3 linked regions of the Astyanax mexicanus genome follow. The protein of the gene in region 2 binds, or shares a complex with, the protein of the main gene of each other region. Links are inferred from orthologs where the notes say so. Each region holds a gene or a part of one and is shown on either strand. Other genes may lie near its edges. The genes, in order: uspl1, sumo3a and senp1.

Evidence for each region.
Region 1: the proteins of sumo3a (region 2) and uspl1 are in contact, whole or in part, in a crystal structure (PDB 7ZJU), measured with the Homo sapiens proteins. The link is inferred for Astyanax mexicanus from reciprocal best matches to the Homo sapiens genes SUMO3 and USPL1. Residues at the interface, in NP_008867.2 of Homo sapiens: Gln24, Asp25, Gly26, Ser27, Val28, Arg58, Arg60, Gly63, Gln64, Pro65, Ile66, Asn67, Asp70, Leu75, Phe86, Gln87, Gln89, Thr90, Gly91; in NP_005791.3 of Homo sapiens: Ala234, Cys236, Trp237, Pro321, Gln322, Leu323, Arg324, Met330, Glu331, Ser332, Val334, Phe335, Leu339, Tyr368, Thr378, Thr380, His393, Phe394, Gly395, Pro396, Asn398, Arg407, His421, Val423, Tyr451, Asn454, Asn455, His456, Phe457, His493.
Region 3: the proteins of sumo3a (region 2) and senp1 are in contact, whole or in part, in a crystal structure (PDB 6NNQ), measured with the Homo sapiens proteins. The link is inferred for Astyanax mexicanus from reciprocal best matches to the Homo sapiens genes SUMO3 and SENP1. Residues at the interface, in NP_008867.2 of Homo sapiens: Gln24, Ser53, Arg55, Gln56, Arg58, Arg60, Asp62, Gly63, Pro65, Asn67, Thr69, Asp70, Gln74, Glu76, Asp84, Phe86, Gln87, Gln88, Gln89, Thr90, Gly91, Gly92; in NP_001254523.1 of Homo sapiens: Gln440, Asp441, Glu446, Arg449, Leu450, Thr451, Lys455, Trp465, Leu466, Asn467, Asp468, Glu469, Asn494, Thr495, Phe496, Lys500, Arg511, Trp512, Lys514, Lys515, His529, Gly531, Val532, His533, Trp534, Gln597, Gly600, Ser601, Asp602, Cys603.

What each region holds. Positions count from the first base shown.
Region 1 is NC_064427.1:14,347,957-14,355,067, reverse strand, and holds the start of uspl1 (SUMO-specific isopeptidase USPL1), read left to right. Parts: upstream 1-4,080; 5' UTR 4,081-4,189; intron 4,190-5,624; 5' UTR 5,625-5,707; coding exon 5,708-5,770; intron 5,771-6,077; coding exon 6,078-6,194; intron 6,195-6,487; coding exon 6,488-7,094; intron 7,095-7,111. Other genes in the region: hmgb1a (high mobility group protein B1a), read right to left, coding at 1-65. UniProt on the Homo sapiens protein: SUMO-specific isopeptidase involved in protein desumoylation. Specifically binds SUMO proteins with a higher affinity for SUMO2 and SUMO3 which it cleaves more efficiently. Also able to process full-length SUMO proteins to their mature forms.
Region 2 is NC_064412.1:39,371,759-39,379,636, forward strand, and holds the start of sumo3a (small ubiquitin-related modifier 3-like), read right to left. Parts: upstream 3,003-7,878; 5' UTR 2,868-3,002; coding exon 2,847-2,867; intron 1,454-2,846; coding exon 1,325-1,453; intron 1,142-1,324; coding exon 1,070-1,141; intron 656-1,069; coding exon 593-655; 3' UTR 1-592. Other genes in the region: pttg1ipa (PTTG1 interacting protein a), read right to left, coding at 6,451-6,497, 7,534-7,580. UniProt on the Homo sapiens protein: Ubiquitin-like protein which can be covalently attached to target lysines either as a monomer or as a lysine-linked polymer. Does not seem to be involved in protein degradation and may function as an antagonist of ubiquitin in the degradation process.
Region 3 is NC_064420.1:2,617,810-2,625,119, reverse strand, and holds the start of senp1 (sentrin-specific protease 1), read right to left. Parts: upstream 3,093-7,310; 5' UTR 2,618-3,092; coding exon 2,484-2,617; intron 1,305-2,483; coding exon 1,249-1,304; intron 939-1,248; coding exon 733-938; intron 1-732. Other genes in the region: acyl-coenzyme A diphosphatase FITM2, read right to left, coding at 6,294-6,891. UniProt on the Homo sapiens protein: Protease that catalyzes two essential functions in the SUMO pathway.

The sequences.
Region 1 (7,111 bases), on a different chromosome or scaffold from region 2:
CAGGTCTGAACAAAATAGGCATAAGAGGACATCTTTCCTCTTGGCTTCGTTGGGTCCTTCCCCATCTTCAATATATCCCTAAAACGGAAAAAGAGAGAATTCATATTTTGCATCATGTCATCCATCTGTACACGACCACAGACACAGACTCTTCACCTGAGACCTCCGTGCACCTAGTGCTTCACATTTCAGCAAAGTCTGTGTGTAGAGAGATCGCAAGATTTTTTCCGTTTCCTTGAATAAACATAAACTTGCAATGGCAACAGATCAGCTGTTTACCATCCCGATGTTGCGAAAAGCTTCATATTAATGTTTATAAAACACAAAAAGTTGCAATAAAAGCTAAAATTAAAGTAATGATAACATCGAATAAAACTAAGATCCGAAGTTGAAAATGGGTAATAAGAGTAAAAACAACCAAACTGATAAAAATATTGTGCGTGCTAATCTAGGCATAACATTGTACAAGTGGTAAAAAACTGTTAAAATGTTTTAAAAAAAATCCAATATACTGTCCACTGAAAAGAGCGATTTCTTCTATGTACTCATATATAGCAATGGCGCACAGGCTGTCTTGTTGAGGGAAAGGAGGTCAACAACGACAGCAATATTTCTCCTTCCATTTTGTGAGAAAGCCTTCTTCATGAAAGAAAGTCCTCCTAAAATGTCTCCACCCGCCTTCCTGTTCGCTTTTTAATTCGACAAATAACGGCGAAAGTCGGTGTTCTTGACAAAATTTCTCCTTCATAAAACCCTATGCACTCGCCCGGTGTATAGTAATACACTAGGTCTGTAGTAAGTCTATGTACGGGCTGTGTAGAGTTTGCTGTGGGCTCGGAATGGCCGCTTGTCTTCATCCACTAACACTGAGAATATGGCTCCTTCTCTTTGTGTCAATGCTCAGCCATTACACTGCATGCAATAGGGGGCAGAGCGACCGCGGTACCCACCTTATTTTAACTAAGATTTTAACAACGTCACTATACACGGAAAAATAAAAAAACGCATTCACTGCAACAACGAAAGATTGAATTTTTATTTTCTGGCGAAATATCTCTCGGTTAAATGCAGATACCAATAGAAAACACGGTTCGAAAAAGTTGAAGTGAACTGCGCTTGTGTCAGGCTCTGTGGCTTCGCCTTGTTTCCTATGCGAGTACAGTCAGCCATTACAGTAAAGCGCAGATCCTGAGGTAATTTTTTTCATCAATTTCTTCATCATTACACAAAAACCGATTACACGAACAAACAAGCACCCAGCGCACGATTCAGCTCATTTTTTACCTCAGTACGTTTTTTATTTCTGTTTATTTCCCACAGCCAACTCTCTTCACATGTTTGACATCTCCGGCTATGCACTGCAATGGCTAGCTAGCAGGCTAACGCTGACTTGCTAGCTTGCTAGCTGCCAGTAATACCTTCCATAGACCTTGTTTGTACGCAATTCACTCACCTAGCTTTGCACCGAACGTTAGTTTTAACGAACACATTTAATACATGTAGAAATCTGGCAGTCAAGGCTTTAAATATAATCAGAATTAGGCAAGACTGTTGTTTATTTTTTTTTACAGGAAAATGTAAATCTAGCAAAGATTACGCTTATTTCAATAAGATGATAATACACGGTCTAAATTCACGGAATTTTTTTTAACGTTTATAAAATTAAATATGCAGTTAATCTCGACATTAGATTTTGCTTAAAATTTACACAAGGTTTTCGTTATCCATACAATTCTGTACTTACCCACACTTCCAAATTTATATAGCTGACACTTTCCAAAGGCTGGTGCTGATTCTCAATGCACTGCAATGGCTGTGTGGAGGTAATAGCGATACGCAGTCTTCTCACTCAGCTCTTCGCTCTGTAACATTACTCTCAGTAGGGCTCGCATCCTATTGGCTACCGCCAAGCCGAACGTTCTGCCGATTGGTCGAAAACTTTCCATTGTCCTAATAACAGACCCACTCGGATTGGCCGTCTTTTGTGAAACGTCACGAGTGTTTTAAATGGCGGGTTAATACAAACTACGCTGTGTTTCTGTGCTGAACTTGAAGCAGTGTGTTGGTAGATACCGTGCACTGTGTAAGCTATAGCATTACTAGGTTCTGTGAGTGCCATACGGAACACTGAATCAACGGGTCTGTGTGGAGTGTGGTAGAGAGCGCTGTAATGTGATACAAAATACTGAATGAATGCGATCTGACTCCTCGCTGAACTCGCCCTCCATACACTGTTTAGTTCAAATTAACAGAGTATGTAACTGTATTAAAAAATATTTTTATATCACAGATTTCTATATTTTAGTGCCAACACGCCAAATGTGTTTTAAATAAAGTAGTATAAAAGATGCAGCCATTAACAGAACAGTTTCAATCAAATGCTTATGACTGTCCGACGTGATTAATAAACAAATGCAGAAAAATAAGATATACACCGATTATTCCTTTTTCTTTTCTTTTAAACATACTAGTTGAACTGAGTCAATGTATGGGCACTCAATACATTTACATAAAAATTAGTTTAGTTGCATTAGCATCTGACTGTTTTATTAGATTTATTAAATTCAACAAATGTTCAAAAGCATTGAGAAACCTACAATCTTTTACTGTAGAAATTTGACTGTAGGCCATTTTTGCTGAATGTGTGTAAACTAATGCACCTTTACTAAGAGAATTCACTAAATAAATTAAAAACTAAATGGTGAATTTTAAAGTTTAAGTGTACAATAATAACAAATATCAGTTAATATGTCAGGCTTCCTGTGTGCTGTCTGTCTAGCTATCTGTCTTTGTGTCAACCTGCACCTCACTGTCTGTCATCAGTTAATAGATTTTTGTTTACTGATTAATTTTAATTTCAAATTATATTAAAGCATTGTCTCTGGAAAAAAATATTATTTGTGATTATACACATGCATACAACTGTCATTGTAATGTACGTGATATCCATAGTAAATACTTTACAAATAGTTACATTTTGTTCATGTTTTCTTTGTAGAAAAAAAGTAATCTGAGTAATTTATCACAATAATTTAACACTATAGGCATACAAACAATAAATAAACAAGCTAAATAATCTGTAAAAGAAAAGAAAGGCTAGTGCATGTTAATTAAAATTTCTTGGGAAAATTATGCAAATGAATATTGTTAGGGACTACGGTGACAGCAGTATATAAGAAGCAGGGGGAGCCTGAAGGGGAGCAGTAGCCCCTCTGTGCTAATGTTTTTTTGATGAGCAGCTGCAGCAATCTGCTTGCCTTCAGAACAAACATATGCGCATGTACACACGAAGCACATGGTGTTATATATTGCAGACATTGTGTGTGTGTGTATCTGTGTGTGTGTGTGTGTGTGTGTGTTTGGGGTGCGTTGACAGCTTGATTAATGAAACACAAGTATTATACATTTTTTGTTAATTTAATTTCCTGATTGAATTGTGTTATTTGAGCAGTGTATGTATAATTAAAAAAAACGTTTATTTTTTATGTATGGGAATTGCAGTCACATTGAGGCTCTGGTCCTGAGGTTACAAAATAGAACATGAAAAATATAAAAAAACAACGAAAAATGTGTGTGTATTTTTTTGCTTGGTTTGTTTATGTAGATCCTCTTATTGCTGTGGGTTATCTGCAATACACATAAGTTACACGCGGTGGCGCTGAAGTAGCTTTTTGCTGTCGCATTGTAGATCCTGTGGTCTGCCGATTTGTAATATCTTGTCAAAATTCGCTACCATAAATTATTATGAGTAAAGCTGTCCTAATGCAATAGTGGGCGAAATATTTAATTTGGCTAAAAGCAGCATATGAGAAAATGCTCTTAGCAGAACAAAGGTAAGATATTTGGATGGCTTAAATCACCATATCAGATAGACAGGTTTATCCTGTTAATTAAACGAGGTGTGATAAAAGTTGTTTTTGTATTTTTAATTCTTCATTAATTATTTTGTAACGCACAAGAAAATTATAACAGTAAGTTTTGATTTAGTAACGCACCATTATCAAAACATCAAATTGGGGGTGCGCGCATGCGCAGAGCTGCGAAGTTGAACATGGTTGGGTAGCACATCTCGACAGAACACCGGATGTCGAACGCTGAAGTTACGTCGGGGAGCGCACACATGGCGGCTGTTCATACCGGTGTGCTGCTACTCTTAGACACGCTCATTTCTGACTCGCTCACTTTCCTGGTAAGTGCAGTAATTTAGTAATAGCTGTGTTTGATCTGCAGAACACAAACGGAATATTTATTCACCCGTTTAATATCGGCATATCTTAGATACTAACTCGTTAGCGTCCTGGTCAGCTTACCTTCTGTCTTCACTCTGTGCTGCAGCTGATACAGGTTAGGCTAGCTAGAAGCTCAGCCTTATTACCTAGTTTAATACATAACCTAAATAAATCTACAACGCTCAGAGTTTTAGGGACATTTCTGGTTATTAACTAATTGTCTTATCGATATAAATATAGTGTTATGTCCTATCGCTAACTGTTTTAGCCTTCCTGTGCTGTGTTAAACCCATAGCTAAGCTAACTAGCTAGGTTAGCTGACATTCGTGTTAAGAACAGGTTGTATTTGAAGTTTATTGACAGTAAAGCTGGGTTTTCACACACGGCAGAACCTGCAGCTCAGAACCTGCATTTCCCTGATTTTCTCCTAATATAAGATACAATTGTTTTGTATAACCTACGTTTTATTGACTTTAATCCCAGACTGATTAATCCCAGTTATTCCCCTGATAGCAAAGCTCATTGAATAACGTTAATATTCTGTCTCATTAACTACACTGATTTCCTTTAAATAATAATAATAATAAGTTAAGTTTTAAATGTTTCTTTACACACTGCAACAAGAAAGTACTAAATATAATAATGTCATAAAATAATACAACTAACACATGTAAACAGCAATGTTGAACTAGGGGTGGACGTTATGGCCTAAAATAATATCACGATGTTTCATGGTATTTTTGCAATAACGATATGACATTTAATTTAAAAAAAAAGGATTTCATAAATACAGTACTGCAACAAAACAAAATGTACATTTTACTATTGCATACGATATGAAACAGCACACCCCTAACCGAGACATTAAAAAAAATAAAAGAATTTTATCAGATTTGTAACAAAAGTCAATGATCCAGAATGTAATTATACTAATAATGCACTCCAAATATTTCCATATAATCCAGAATTAAAGTAAAATAAATTATACTGGACAGATATAATGTCTCTAGTAGATATATAATGGGAAATGAGAGCAGTGTGAATTTTTCTTTTGCTTAAAAACAGCAAAAAATAGTTCCCTGATGTGATAATTAGGGGTGGGTGATATGGCACGGTATTTCAGAGTATAATATTGTTCACAGTATAATAAAATGTTGGTGATATTTTTGTATACCATACGATATGGCACATCCCTATGTTGAACCAACATAAAATCCAAATGCACAAATAAATTGATTCTGATATCTGAGATCACTTTAGGTCAATAGAACAGGAAATATGAATGTTAATTCACATAGTATGTTATCTGGGTCTTGATTCAGATTTATTCTTGGCGTTTTCATTCTATTTTCAGTTGTATTCAGTTCTTTCAAGCAGTGCTGTTTGTCGTTACAGTGTCTGTGAACCAGCTGGTCGAGGCACATGCTTATGGAGGATTGCAGCCACATGCGGTGGATAAGGTGGTGACAGCGGCGCTCATGAACGGTGAAATCCACGGCGCGGGTTTGAAAAGCCCAGCGCTGGTGGGGTGTTTGGGAAAAGTCAGTTGTTACTCAGTTCTCCCTGTCTGTCACATGTGCAAAGCTATTTGCTCATTGCTCAAAGCTATTGGGGTGGGGGTCAAATTTCTGCAGCCCCTCAGCTGGTCAAAACAAATATATTAGTAAAAGGCGAAAGTGGTACTTTTTTGGATCTTGTGTAGCACTTTTCGGTAGTAATGAAAGTGCTTATTTTAAATGCACATCGATACTCTCTTTCTCTTGCCATGTGAGGCTTTTGAATGTTTTCCTTCAGTTTTTGTATTCTTTGGTAATTTTAACCCTGTCATCACATATTTTGTCCCTCAAGGCTGAAGAGAGAATAACTGAAGATTGCCCTTGGTGCTCTGCAAAAGGACAGAGAAGTGCTCTATGCTCATATGCCATCAACTTTAATGAATCCATCACTCTGTGCAGCAGTCCACTGGTAGGCCATGCCATGTTAACACTAGGTTTCTTTTATTGTGGTTTACATGACACACACACAAATAATATACATAATTTGTAGCTGTAATTTCATCTGAAGTATTGTATCATAGCGTTTCAACTATTCCGTTTTGGCACGCATAAGCTAACAATTAATGCTGTGTAAACAACATAAATGAAAGCTGTATTTGTGCAGTTGGTATCAGAACTAGAAGTATGTTAAGTTGCCCTTTTTGGATAATGGTGTGCTGGGTGTTTTCATATTGACCTTATTTCATTCTTCTTCCTGTGCAGTGCCTTTTTCCTCTTGTCAGCCGACCTTTGGAGGATATTCGTGCAAGTCTTTATTCAGCAGATGACAAAAAGGTGTGCAAGAGAAAGTCTCACATGTCCGAGTCTAAAGTTTCATCTCCCAAGCATCTGAAAAAAGAGGAGTCCTGCATTGTGCCTGAGGCCAGTGACTGCAGGGTGTCCAGTGAATTGTTAGAAGTGAAGCGGTTTCCTTATAGACAAGAGGAGCAGAATGTGGTTCAGAATAATATCCAGACATGCCCTGAGGCCCCCGCTGCCAACAATGAGGATCAGGTATTGTCAGATACAGCACAGACTGAGAATTGTGTATCCAGCACCCGGAAGGAGACAACTGAGACCACGTTGACAGATGGAGCTACGCAAGATTTGATCGAGATGATGCCCTACCAGCAACACTTATTCTGGAAAAATAAGGACAACCTTTGTTGGTTGGATTCGTTGCTTATTGCACTCGTACACTTTGGTGTATTTAGCGAAGTAAATTCTGGCAGTAACAGCTTTCTTAGCAAAAGTTGCCATGTGAGGAACTTGTGCACAAGATACAGGAAAACATGTACATATCTGAAATCCAAAGGGAAACAATGCCAAGGTAAGTGGGTGCATGTT
Region 2 (7,878 bases):
TTCCCTTCAATCCCATCCCCCTTTGTTACTTCTTGAGTGAGGCAGTTCATTTTAAAATAAATGTGGAGAAACAAACAAAGAATGCAGGGTGGGCATCTCTTCAGCTTACAGACATAAAATAGATCCTGGCTTAAAAGATACTTAAAGCTGCATGACACAGAAGGGGGAAGATCCTCATTCTGCAGAATATAGACAATATGGGCATAGACCATTTATATTTCAAAATGGAAAGAATGGCGGGACAGGCAACTATGGCCCGACTTTCTGGCCAGTATTACACACTGAGAGACGCAACAAGTAGTTCAGATGGCCATTTTGAACTATACCTCAGGGCAGCCATCTTAGTTTTGCCTGCAGCCACATTTGTCATCTCACAGACATGATTACATACTGAAAGAGTGAAGTGGGAGGGGGAATGAAAAGAAAAAAAAAAAAAAATCAAAACAAAAAACCTGGTCCCACCCTATGAAAACTAGGGAGGACTTTCAAATAACTGGCAAAGAAGGGAAATGAACAGTACAGTTAAAGAGAGCATTTAGAGGAAAACATGTCAAATAAAACAGCCGAGTGGGAGCTCGCTGCGCGAATAGGTTTAGCGAGAACCGCCTGTCTGTTGTTGAAATACATCGATAGTGTCCTCATCCTCCATCTCCAACTGCAAGAAAGAAAACATATTAAACCAACTGGATACAACTGATCAAAGTAAATAAACATAAGAGAAAAGAGCAAAAAAATCCCAAATTTTGACAATAGTTTATAATTAACCTTAAATTCGCTCAGAGAGACATTAAGCCAATAAGATAGCAGTTGGCTGCAACAAATGTACTGGAATATTTAGGGGCACCCAAGAGGACAGATTCATAAATAACAAAATGTTAGAGTTTAGTTAATTTTTACATAAATTTCTGGATTCTATTCCTTAAGCTAGCGTAAAGTTGACATAGCTTTTACACTTCAGACTGCATGAGCTAATTTTTGTACATTTTATCTACTTATAAGTAATCTATACAATTTGTGGTGAAGCTGTGATTTAGTCATTGTGGGACAAAGGTAATCCTTATATGCTCACCTGTGCCGGCGTGTCTGTCTCGTTTATTGGCTGTCCATCAAACCTAAACCTAATCTGTCTTATTGACAACCCCTGCAAGAACAAAAAATAAAACATTAGTGCAGCTCAAGACCATGCATGCATACACAGTAACAATGGAAACCGCATTAAAGAGAAGAAAACAAACATATATAAAAGGCAAAATATGCAATCACCAATCTCTTTTCCACCTATTAACAAAAGTCAAAAAACACAAACAAGCAAGCATGCACACACCTGTCTTTCACAGTATGCTTTCATTAGTTTGCTGAGGGGTGTATGCCTTTTGATTTTAAACTGGACCACTGATCCATCCTGCCCAGCCACCTTCAAGTTGATGTGATCGTTCTCAGTCTTCACTCCCTCCTGTAAGAGAAAAGAGGGGGAAATGTAACAATGAGACATGTAAGCAGCTTCTATTGGTTAGAATATACAAATACAAAATGTTAACATGTTCTATTGCAAACGTCAGGGTAACCATTCTGAGTGATACCATGGACGGATGTGGTTAATCACATGTTTATAAAAGCTGTTCAGAAAGTGGTAAAGGTGTTCTGTGGTTCAGTAAATGTGGCTAACTTTATGTACCAAAAACAGAAAGACAAAAAGTAGATTGGATACCATTTTCTCATATCTTTTCCTGAAAACCAGACTGAGAAGCAGAAATAAAAACTGGCAACTTAAGGAAATGGATGAACCCAGAATGGGCTGAATGGTTGTTTCAATTAGCTAACTAGCGTTAGCTTGGTTAACTAACCTATGTTAGCTAATGCTAGCTACCATTATTTTTGTCTGAGCTAATAGCATCTCCTAGCTAACATCTCCCCACAGATACAGTCAGACATTAGCGAAAACTGACTAGCTAGCGTTAAATACAGCGATTAAAAAGTGGTGAAACTGCGCAGATTCGCCCTTTCCTGTTTAAGCGCTCTTAATGCTATCTAAAGAGCTCGGGGTGTGAGAAAATGGAGAGGCGCTAGCTTATTTTCCCTCCATAAGCCTCACACTGCAAAGCTCCCCTCATAAAGTGAAAGCTAGCTTACAGCTAAACACACCAGAACCTGGCCATTACAGCAACAAGCCTCACAAAACAACATGAAGCGAGCTGAAACACGGCGGTAGCTAACATTAGCTAAGTGGCTAACCGCTACACTACCCAGCTCTCAGTGAGGAGACGCGTCGTTGAGGCTCTTTGCCGCCGCCGCCGTGCGCCATTTTCGCATCTGGTGCAGCTAAAAGCCTGCACCTAAAATCAGCTCCCAAACAACCCGCTCACCTTCACCCTCCCCGTTTAAATTAACGAGCATTTTAACACGATTTAAACCAATTAAGAGGCTCATGATGAATAAACTCGGTCGATTCCAGTCAGCGGCCCGTTGCGCTTCTTCTCGTAGCGCCACTTCTCCGCTTTCACAAAGGAAAAGCCGCAAAGCTCGACGCTGCTTCTCACACGGCGACGGAAAAACGGCGCAGAGCAGGTAAACAACGGCGCGCTTTCAATGGACGACCGTCCGCCTGTGTCTAATTCCCTGAAATATTTAAAGAACCCGCGGAATAACCGGGTTTTATAAATGTAGCGGGAGAATGGAAAAACCCCGCGGCCGCACGCTGGCTTCCATTTTCCCGCACAAATGCGCAGCCTGCCGAGCGCACTCTGAATATAACACTGAACCGGCGCTTTTCCCTCCGCGCGCGCTCTTCTTCCTTCCCTCTCCCCCGAACACTTGCTCCCCACACGGACACCCGGCTCTCGGCTCACCTTGGGCTTATCTTCAGACATCTTCTCCGCGGGTTTTCTTGCTGATCTCCGCTCACCGTGTTTGTGTGATTTCGCTACTGTCCGCCCGGCCGCCACGAGCACGCGCCTCTCTTTACCTCCTTCGGCCCTGATTGGGCGTCACAGAGTCACGTGTTCCAGTCTGGGCGGGAGCGCGCCGCGCGTTCCCGTGCGCGCCTCTTTCTTCTGGGGGGAGGAGTGAAAAAAAAGAAACAAGAAAAACGGGGTCGCGCGCACAGAGACAAAAAGGCGCGGCCCCGCTCAAACCCACGGATTAAATTAGGATTATTAATATTTTAAGTTAAACTGGTCCGTATTGAAGACAGGCCTATTGATAGATACCGAATATAATTGATTTTTTACACGTGACGTTTGTGTCTGTGGGTTTTCTGTGTCTAATGAACAATTTAGTCATTCTTTTCTCCGCCACTAGGGGCAAGCGATTTGGACCTGCACACAAATAGGCCGCCATAATAATAATAATAATAATAATAATAATAATAATAATAATAATAATAATAATAATAATAATAATAATAATAATAATAATAATGAATAAATGATAATTTATTGATCCCAGATTTTCAAACCATGCCTTATGTCAGAGCAGTAAAATGATTTTATATATTTGTTATTATTATCTGTTTATATATCTACCTTAATAACTATTTTCTGTAAAATACAATACAATAAATACAATAAAAACGTTTTTTTTAAATAAATAAGTAAATAAAAATTATGTTAACAAGTGCTGAATGAATTGATAAGCATAAGCTATATACTGTAATAATGTATTTGCATGTATTTTTGTTATTTTCTCAACCATGCCTTGACATTTGACAATTCTTAAAATTCAAATTTAAATAAGTTCGGATATTTTATTTGAATTATTTAAAATCTGTAAAATGATTTTATAAACTTGCAAAACAGTGTCTGCTGCCTTTATATTAATATTAATACAATTTTATGAAAAATACCATAATACAACAGTTATACTCGTTGCCTAATTCTTAAAAATTGAAATGATATAAACAAATGACATATTAAATTATAAACATAAAGTGGAAAAAATGTATGTGAACCCTTTGGTTCACAAATCTGCTTATACATTTGTCTTAAAATATGATCTGATCTTCATCTAAATTAGCATTGAAAAATATGTTGTGCCTAAAATATCACATAATTCAATCCATAGCATCTGAGATCTGACTTGGCCCATCCTAAAGGTGGATTTTGTTTTTCTTAAACCATTCTGTTGTGAACTTGCTCTGGGGTTTTGGGTCACTGTCCTGTTGCATTACCCAACTTCTACTCCTGTAAAATTGTTTGATACACTCGGGAATTCATCCAGATCTTGATATTCCCTCCACCTTACTTTGGAAGTTGGAAGGATGTTTTTATGGTGATGTGCAGTGACATTTTATATCAGATTTAGTGCAGCAAAGCAGTTTAATTTTAGTGTTATCTGTCAATAAAATATTTTCCAGTACCAAGGTAGAGCTTCAATGTGCTTTTAGTAATTCCTTTATGTTTTTTTACATTATGTAAATCAACATTTTTTAATATTTGATTCTCTGAAAGCTCTTTTTTGGCACAGCATTGCTCAGATATAGGTATCCTTCTTGTGCAGAGCAAAATCAAAAAGTTTAAATGGATTTTATCAAAGTAGCTCTAGTCCACACCTTTAAACTAGCATTAGTCCAAGTGCTAATGCTTGACTCTAATTTTATATATATATTATTATATATTATATAATAATTATTTTAGGTATATCATATTTTTAATACCATTATTCTGAATCAAATAACATTTTGTGACAAATTTATGCTACCAATTGAACCATGAAATTCCAAAGGGTTCACATACCTTTTCTAGACACTATATGCTGTATACTGTAATTATGTATTTGCATTCATTTTAGTTTTTGTTTTAATCATTTCTTGACATTTGACTTTATTATATTGTCCTATATTGAATGTATAATAATTTAATAAATGTAATAATTTAAAACATATGTACATTAATTTATACACTTGCTACACAGTTTTATATTATTAAAAATACTTATTCCCAACTTTACCATCATAATCTTGAAAAAGTTCTGATTTTTAAACCACTTCATTCATTTCAGCTGAATTAATCTTCTTGAAAAGCTCTCATATATATTTTTTTACATTCTGATAGACAGGTCAACAACTGCTTAATGCCCTTGAAAAGCATAACAAACATTAACCAGTTTAGCTCTGGACTTCAGGGAATTTATGTGGTCTCCCAACTTGGCAGGTTAGTCAACCTATATGTTTACTGGCTGATCTCCAGGACCAGCATGAAAAACAGGCTTGACAAACAGTCATGTCAAGCAGCTTAATCAAGCTGGATGATCACCAAAACTACACTAGTCAATTAGAATTAGCAGCATAATAATGCTGGTTGACCAGCATGACTCAGATGGTTTACCAGTATAACAGATTAGTCAACCAGTATGACCAGCTTTGTCAGTTGTGTTAAGGTGGTTAAGAGCTAAGTTGGTGTTAACAAGCTTTACCAGTTTTCGTACAGTATACTGTGTGTTTTTCCCCAGACTGGCCATCTTTTCAACCGCCTTCATCTTCTTGCTGGTCCTTAGCTGGATTTTATCTGTAGTTAATTTTGTTCTTTCTCTGAAGGCAAACAAACTCAGTTCTAAAATAACGATCAAACAATGAAATCATAAAAAAGGAACACAGCTATTCACAGAAAAAAAGATTTTATTTTTATTTTCCATATTCTCAGTCAAACCTACAATACATAGGAACGTATTGCTGTTGATTAACATAAATAGCAATAAATCAGAGAAATCTTAATCAAGGTGTCCAATCCATTGTTTTACTATAAACAACCAGCAGCACACTGGTTTCATCAACTGGTCTGTCTGCAAACTAGTGAAAACAAGAGCTTCACCTTGGCTGAAAATGAAAACCTAAAGCCAGACTGGCTCTTTGCAGATAAGAATGGACACCCCTGTCCTAAATTAAGAAAGTCCCAACTAAACATTTCCACTAAACCCTTTAAAGATTCTGAGCTCATAAAAATCAGTGTACAGAAAACTATTAGTATGATGTGGCCTATAGTTTGGGGCAATGGGTCACTATCAGTATAAGGTGCCTTTTGTGGCACAGTGAAATAAAAACAAATTAAATTATTCATTTTGTTATTTTCATAAAAATATTCAGCTATTTACATTATATATCTTATATTGTCTTCATATTTCGCTGAGGAAAAGCTGTTGTTTACCCTGTCACGGGTAAAATATTACATTAATTATAATATTAAAAAATGAAAATAAAAACTGATTAAACTAGAAGACATCCTGTGAAAACATTTCTGTGTAATCTGAAGTCATACGTTTAGAAATTAAACTGATTAAAAATTGTCGAAAGAATGAAAAATCTTAAGTAATGTTTTTTTTTGTCTTCAGGGCCAAAAAGGCACAGTATTTTGATAATGACTCAGCTAATAAAATCAGACATTATCAGACAGCAGCATCAAAGTAAAAGTCATTAAAGGCAGTTTGCAAAGGTTTTGAAGGTTCACTCAGGAGCTCCTCTCAGGCAGCATTCTCAAACCTGGCATAAGGGCTGGCCTTACTGAGACCTGAGAGAAAGAGAGAGAGAGAGAGAGAGAGAGAGAGAAAGAAAGAGAAATATTGTTGCCATATCACATTCTGAGTGCATGTTTACTTTAGCACTGCCCTGGGAAAAAGTACATAATGGATGTGAGTGGACCTGAAGGCTGAGGAAATGTGGACTGTTAATTTAAAAATAATTACATTACAAACATGCGCTTTTCTGTTTAAAGAGGCACTCCAGCAAAACTGACAAACATAACCATCACTATATCTGTTGTAATATGCTTACTAGCCTTCCACAGGGGTGACAATTGGAGCTCTAATTTAGCTTCTTTTGTTTAAAGGCCACCTACGTCATGTCCACAGTTACGTGCCACGTTACGTTAAATAATTATTCTAAGGCGTTAATTAACACAATATTTATTTCAATTATTCATTTAGCTATTTCCCTTTTTTTATAAAAATATTAAGCTAAGAATTCCATGCCCACCCTGTCATCTTGGGAAAACTCTGGCCCTTTAAGAAATTAACTTTTGATATCAGATTTATTAATCAGCAATTAATAACATTAATTTCACTTAATATTATTCATACACTCTCCATATTGAACTGGGGTAAAGCTGAAGATGTTCAAGCTGTCATGTTAAAATGTCAAGGTATTTAACACAATTTTAGGAAATCCAAATTGATCTTTGAAACTAAAAAGGGTGCCATGAACAAAACAACATGTTTGTAACTTTAGGTCAACCATGTTTTCGTCAAATGTTTATTTTTGCTGCAATTTTCACCTTGTCATTGTAAGACAGGATGAACCATTTTAGCAAAAATTAACATTTGATGAAAACATGGTTCACCTAAAGTAGTCTGTTAAAGTAGCAGTTTACTGAATGTCAGTCTCTTTAGCAGACTTCTGTTAGACCTCAATTTTCATTTTATCTGATTAAATGAAATGAACGTGGTTTTCTATAGAGGGTGGAGGAAGGTTCTTTTAATGATAATCTGTACATGTTCATACAGTGAAGCATCAGTGTGTGAGGGGGCATCACTTATGACACTGCTTACCATATTTCTGCCGAATTTCATCATGTCGCACTCTCATCTCAGCTTTCCTGTAAAAGAGCAAATATATTCTTATTGTAAATCCATGCAGACAGATACACAGACACACACACACACACACATATACAGACAGACAAGTCTGTAGATTATCTCAGTCCAGCATGGCTGCCAAACCGGTTTGTACTGGAACATTTTTAGTGACGACCAACTTTACAGCAGCACTTTTTTTCCCTTTGTTCTGAAGATATGCAGAGGCTGATATATAAAGGCAGTGTGTGTGTGTGTATGCGTGAGTGTGTGGGTGTAACTTGGACATTATTATGCGTAAGAACATTGGAATTATCTGTG
Region 3 (7,310 bases), on a different chromosome or scaffold from region 2:
TGCAAAATGCAGATACTGCCAACTTTTGACCAAGCAGAAATCTTTGGCTCTAAGCAGATTAAATATTCTACTAAGTTCAGCATATTTAAAACAAAAACGGTTTCGTTGAAACATTTATTTTTTTACATTTCAAATAAAAAAAGCAATAGCAAAAAATATTTGCATGTTTTTGTCCAATACAGAGACGTAACTGAGACATATAAAATACAAAACAAAAAAATCTCATTTGTATAAAACCTCATGCAACATTTAAAACTTCACTAAATTGAAATTGTCAAAAGCATATTATATTACAGGTGCAAGACATGCTAAAGGAAGCATGCACCGTAGCCCAGCATCATCTACGCCCTGCTCATTCAGATAACAATAATTTATTACTTTGTTGTGAAACATCAGCTAAATCTAAGCAACTCTCAAACATTTTAGATAATTATAATAGTATATAAAAGTAATTATGAGAGTAAAGAACTGAAACGTGGGCTTACATACAGGGTCTAATGGGTTAAACAGTAAATAAAACAAAGGTAATGATAAGAAAATTACAAATGAGAACTTTAAAAGATGTTAATCTTTAATATTCATACAGTTCATGCAGCAAATGTTTTGAGGGCATCGTTTATGCAACTTTGGAATGCATCTCGTACCACAGTTTTGAAAACTACTGCAATATTAATTTTTTTTTTTAATTCCTACCAACTCTTTGCATACTGTGCACCATAAAAAGTGAAATACCTTGCTTTCAGTATTTTCAGACCCCGATGCATTGGCTGCAGGAAGAGATGTGGGCAGGTCTGTGGATTCTGTCTGTGGTGGGTCAGGAGAGGCAGGCAGCATGTTCCTCAAGGTTGGGCTGACACTGCTGCGCATCCACGATGCAACAGAAGAGCCATGGGTCTTCACCCCCTCGGCCGCATTCTTCATCGTGTCCATAAAATCTCCTAAAACACAAGAAAGTTCAAGTCAAGTTGAGAGGTTTTTACTGTAGTTTCATCTAATCCTGGCATCATGTTCTCCTCCACCAGTCTTACACACTGTTTTGGATAAGGTTATGCCTTTACTCCTGGTGCAAAAATTCAAGCAGTTCAGTTTGGTGGTTTGATGGTTTGTGATCATCCATCTTCCTCTTGATTATATTCCAGAGGTTTTCAATTTGGTCAAATCAAAGAAACTCATATATCATTTTTAAGTGGCCTTTTATTTGTATTTTTTCCAGATTTATATGTTCCAAAAGGAGAGTGATATACTTACCCATTCTAAATTTCTTGACAGCTCGGTGTTCTTCAATGCCATCCACATCTTCCAGACTGTAAAGAAGAAGAAAAAAAAGATGCATGTTAATGTAAGCTGTTCTAAAACGAAAGCTACTTTGGATAGCGACACACCAGCCTATAGGAAAGCCTAACACATGCCTGCTTCTCAGGGAACAGTAGAGAACAAGACAGAAAGGTGTTAAGCAACTTCACTAGTAAAGTGTATCGGTGCAGTTTCAAAACATCTGTTGAGATACTACATTGAAAAATATTAGCTAACTAATCAAACACACTTTGACACAAACATTTACACATCCACTATATTCTCTATCAGTGGTGCACAGTTACGTGGATAGCTACAAAACAAATATAGGTGGAGACTGTACTAATTATCTGTACTTCGCTTAACATAAAAAACACGTTTGCTCGAAATAAAGAAATCGTTGAGCAGAAGTTGCAAAATTTTTCACTTGAATTTGACAAAACTTGAGCAGAAGTTATTTATACATTTTAAAGAAAACGTGAGCACGAACTGCAATATCGTTTGCTCAATAAATTATTTTTTTATTCACAGGCCCTCCCTGGCTCCCTATTATACAGTTAAACATTTAAAAATAAATATATTTTTAAATGTTTGTATTGAAAATGTCTAACAAATCTCAGGACTATATAATAGAATCGTGAATTGAATTGAATCATGAGCAGAGTGTATCGTTACACCACTACTTTCTAACTATAGAGTACTTTTACTCAAGTGGAAATCTAAAGGGACGAGTTTTTGGTAGCTACATTTATCTTATAATTTTAAATCTTGGTAGCTTCGTCCACCACTGAATAAAGTGAAGACCAGAAGCTAATTTTCCCACAATAATAATAAAGCTGATAGATACTTTGGACAGCGACACACCAGCACAGTCTAACACATGCCTGCTTCTCAGGGATCATAGCTTATATCAGTAGATTTGCCTGTGTGAACTCCAGTAGAAGTTTTTTGCCGCGCACTTTAGTGAAGGTAGCTAGCTTGAGTTTGACTAAAATAACTTAACGTTAAATAGTTAGCCTATCAATTACACACTTTTCCACTAACTTAACCTATATTATATAGCCATTCTTGTCTCTAGTAAAGTAGCTAGCTAATTAGCGTTAGCCTAGTTTAGCTAATTTGGTCTCAGAAAAGCTGGCTAGTTTAAATAGCTAACTAAGTTAGCTAGTTAAGCTAACTAATAAACTCACCAGTCTATGGGTCTCTTTCTCCGGGGAGGACCGTCTTGCTGCTGCCCCGTGCCGATATGATCCCCACCGGGCGCTTCTCCGTTGCGAAGGTTAGCTATTCCAGTCCCGAACCACTGGTAGAGCTTATTAAACATGTTTAATCCTGGAGCCGCTCTGTTTAAATCTCTCTGAAACGGGCCTTATTCACATGCTAGCAGTTAGTTAGCCAATTAGCATCATTACCTCTGTTAGCCGGTTAGCTTGAGCCGCATTTTCCAGCCCGGTAGACCGGTTAACTGGTTAGCTAGCTAGTTAGCTAGGCTAGTTAGCCAGGCTAGCACAGCCGCCGGGCCGCCGTTAGCTGCCCCAAGCCCTAACTTAGCTAGCCTAGCCAGTTAGCCGCGATGCTAACAGCGTCCCTCAGCCTGAGCGGCGGTTAATCAGCGCGCGGCCTCCCCGCGCACAGGCCTCCCCCGTTATTAATGAAACCGGGCCGGGATCCCGGAGCGCCGTTACCCGCAGTTTACCGGTTATAAACCCGGTCTCTGAAACTTGCTCGCGCGACAACCTTCTCCCGCTTCTTCCTCATTTAAAACCGCGACATGGCCAAAGCTCGCATCTCACCGTCAGGCGCGCTGATTGGCTGAGCGGCGATGACGCGCGGGGCTCGCCTGCAGTGTTGTAGAAGAGGAGTGGAGGAAAAAAAATAACATAAGGAGTGATATATTAAATATATTGTTTTGCATTGTTTTATTTCAGTTTAATTAATAAATTTGTTGTATTTTTTATTCTATAAGCATTAATGTATTTTATGTGTTGTTTTATTTCATAAGGATTACTATATTTGTTCCATTGTTTTATTCAATAAGGATTAATATATGGAAAAAAAAGCTAAAAAAATCAAAAGATTAATCACTTACATGTAATATTTTATTTATATGAATTGATATATTTGATGTATTGTTTTATTTTATATGGATTAATAAACTTGATGTATGTACTTGATATATTTGTTGTACTGTTTTAATTCATAATTTAAAGCATCATAATTGGTCTCTCCTAGTGTTTAGTCCACATATTAGTGTGGTCAGAGCTGATTTTTGGGGGGTTTTGGTGCTAACTTTTATGTAAAATGTTCAGTAAATGCAATGAGTGGCACCTTTAACAATCAACATTGCTATATCATTGTGTACAAGCAATATACTTTACGTTAATAATAGTCAAGGCAAAAGATGGATTGGTATGAAGGAAGAATTTATTTGAGCATCAGAAAAAAAGCATCAGGCTGACCAAATCATCACTGTCCAGTGAAAAACAGCATCTTCAAAAGTATCTCCATTTTTTTTAGTATCTCCATTTTTAGTTTACTACTTTATTTGATCACACAAACTGTACCTTACACTGCATCAACATTGCTTGATGAATGGACCAATAGAAATGCTTTAAACTTATCTATACACTGACTAATGTCTGAAATAACAAAAAAAGATGCAGAGCTTTCAGACCTCAAATAATGCAAAGAAAGTTCATATTGATAAAGTTTTAAGAGTTCATAAATCAAATTTTAGGTTGGAATAACCCTGGTTTTTAATCACAGTTTTCAAGCATCATGTTTGCATCATGTTCTCCTCCACCAGTCTTACACATTGCTTTTGGATAACTGATTTTATGCTGCTTTACTGCTGGTGTAACAATTCAAGCAGTTCAGTTTGGTGGTTTGATGGTTTGTGATCATCCATCGTCCTCTTGATAATATTCCAGAGGTTTTCAATTTGGTAAAATCAAAGAAACCCATCATTTTTAAGTGGCCTCTTATTTTTTTTTCAGAGCTGTATATCTACTAGAGACTATAGATTATATCTGTCCAGTATCATTTATTTTACTTTAATCCAGGATATATGGAGATATATGGAGTGCATTATTTGTATCAGTACTACTTATAATTAGTATTGGTTATAAATCTAATACTTTTTTTTTGTATTCTTTTAATATCTCAATTAGAGGTGTGCCATATCATTTCATATGCAAAAATATAATTATTATTTTTATTTTGTTACAGTAGTATATTCTTGAAATAATATATTTTTAATTTAATGTTTTGTCATATGGCAAAGAGTATCGTTATTGTGAAAATACCTTGAAATATCATAATATTATATTATTTTAGTGCCATATCGCCCACCCCTAGCCAGTAAACACAACAGCCACAAACAGCTTATTGGACTTCATTTTTAATTCTCGACATATTCAAATATCATATGACTTAAAATAGAACAAAAATGAACTATCCCTAAAAGATAATGATCAAAAACAGGGAACACAGTGCATATTATCAACATATCAATACATACAAGATATGAGTACACACAGTACAGTCATTCAAGCGCCGAAATGTTTGGCATGAGATATGGCAACACGTATCAGAGGAATATTAGTGTTTTCAAGCAGCCAAACATCCTGGCACTTAAGTCCTTTTAAATCCTGTATAAGAACAATCAGCATTTCAGAGGAACAGGGGCAAACAGGCAGACAAGCACTGTTTAACAATAGCTTCAATTATAATGGTAAAAGCTGTGTGCAATTTTTAATAAATATACATTTTATTAATATAGAATGAAAATTAAGCTTTAACACCCCCAAAAGTAAAAACATCATATTTGGACCTTTCCTGCAGCACAAAAAAATGCTGTACCTTGTATTGCCATTTTTGCACTTAATATCTGCAAGTTGTTCTTTACATTGTATTGGAATTTTATTATAAATGGACAAATAGAAATGCAGCAAAATTTGTTGAAATCATTTGATCAAAAACATTTAGAAAGGAATCTATTAAAGAAAAAGAGATTTTCTTTTTATTTCAGCCAGTAAGTCAAATGTTGCTCTTTGTTATAACCTTTTTGATGGTTATTAAAATAATAACTGAGAACTTTAGAGCCCTTTATGAGCTCTATACATTCAAAATACAAGCATGTCAGGTCCCTTAATAAACTCTTTACTTATATATATATTTATTTACTTATTTCTTAAAAAAAAACATAAAATCTAGCCTAAGCTGAGTTGACACGGCAGAGAAAAAAAATACCTAAGTTATTAAGCATTGCAGAGAAATAAGTATATTAGTTTTTTTAGGGTTACAAATTTATTATATTAAATACAATGTGGTCAGCAGAAAACCAATCAAATCAAGATCACAGATCAAATATCAATTTTCAATTTTAAATATCAGTCAAATATTTACACTTATCTGTTAAAAAAAAACATATCCAATAAAATTTTTAAATAACATTCTGCTGTGTGAATACTGATGCCATGGATCTAAATTTATATTAAAACAAAATATAACAGGTATGCCAATAACTGAATGATGAATGAAGGGACAAAAAATAAAAAAATAAGAGTCATAACTTAACACAGCATTTAATTTTACAATAAAAGAATAAAAATGATTCTCTCTGATTCTATAAGTGAACTAGAGCGTATCTACATGTAGTCGTAGATAAAGCAGCACACTTGTACTCAGCTCAATTAAAACCACCGACGTACAGAAGGCAGCAAAAAGGATTAGATAGGTAGTGTGGACGCTTAGACGAGCATACCACATGTAGCATTTCTCTCAGATTACAATCAGAGTCAATTTTGGACCTGCAGCTGCTGAAAACCTCCGAGAGACAAGCGCACAAATCCCGGCAGTACAAACAACAGCCTATAAAAAGGACACACGGACAGATGGATGGATGGACTGACGTACGGTGTGAACCAGGTTAAAGTTTGTGTCGTAGTTTAGTGTCAGTTTGTTCCTCCGCTGCACAAGTGGGTGTAAAGCTCTCAGTCCTATTCGTGTTGTTTGTGGTCGCTGTGGTGCGGCGGTAACCCCGGAGAAAACGGGTTCAGGTACCAGGCCTTGTAGGTCAGATACCATCCCAGCACAGCACACCCAGTTCCCAGGATCTTGTGAATGGTTTCGTGGAAGTACACAGAAGTGCAGGCAAACATCCATACCCAAATAACCACGATAGCATTGAGCGCCACATACAGAGCATCCAGCACAGCTGTCCTCTTCTGATTGTGCTGCACCAGGTGCAGCATGGGAACCATCTCTTCGACGATAAGGAACGTAGAATAGGCCAGAATGAACGAATGACCCGATATATCAAAGCCGTCCCACATTAACCCGGCTCTCCTGCACTCCGCCTTCGTGCTGAACTCTTCACGAACGACCTGCACGGACTCAGACTGCCCGTAACACGTCCCTGTGATGTCCTCGATGTAGAAAAACGTCTCGGTGCAGATGTACCAGATCGCCGTCGCCACCACCAGAGCTGTGAGACGCTTCAACACATAGATATGGGTTCTGTTGTAGGAGTTGGAGAGGAACAGAAACGGGAGCAGCAGAACCAGGTTCCAGCCCCAAGAGATCTTTACAAAATACCTAAGAAAGAAAAAAAAAAAGAAAAAAAAAATAAGGTAGAAGAAGATAAAATCAGCACCATTCAAAACATGAGCAAAAAAATTCTAGTTAGTTTCTTTAAAAATACATTAAAATAATAATAGTAATAATAATAATAATAATAATAATAATAATAATAATAATAATAATAATAATGTACACCCATCTGATTTTTAATACTTTAATATTGAACTTTTGTCTTTTATATTTGGGGATTGGGGAGGGAGTTCCTTACTAATGCACTCTTAATGCAGAGATATGCAGAAAAGTGAAATATCTAATTTTGTGGATTTATGGCCCTAAAATATGACAATTTTTCACAGCATTTTCTTTTTTCATTTGTTTGGCATTTACTGCATTTACTTTTAATTGGTTGTGTGCATTTTAAATGTTGACACTAA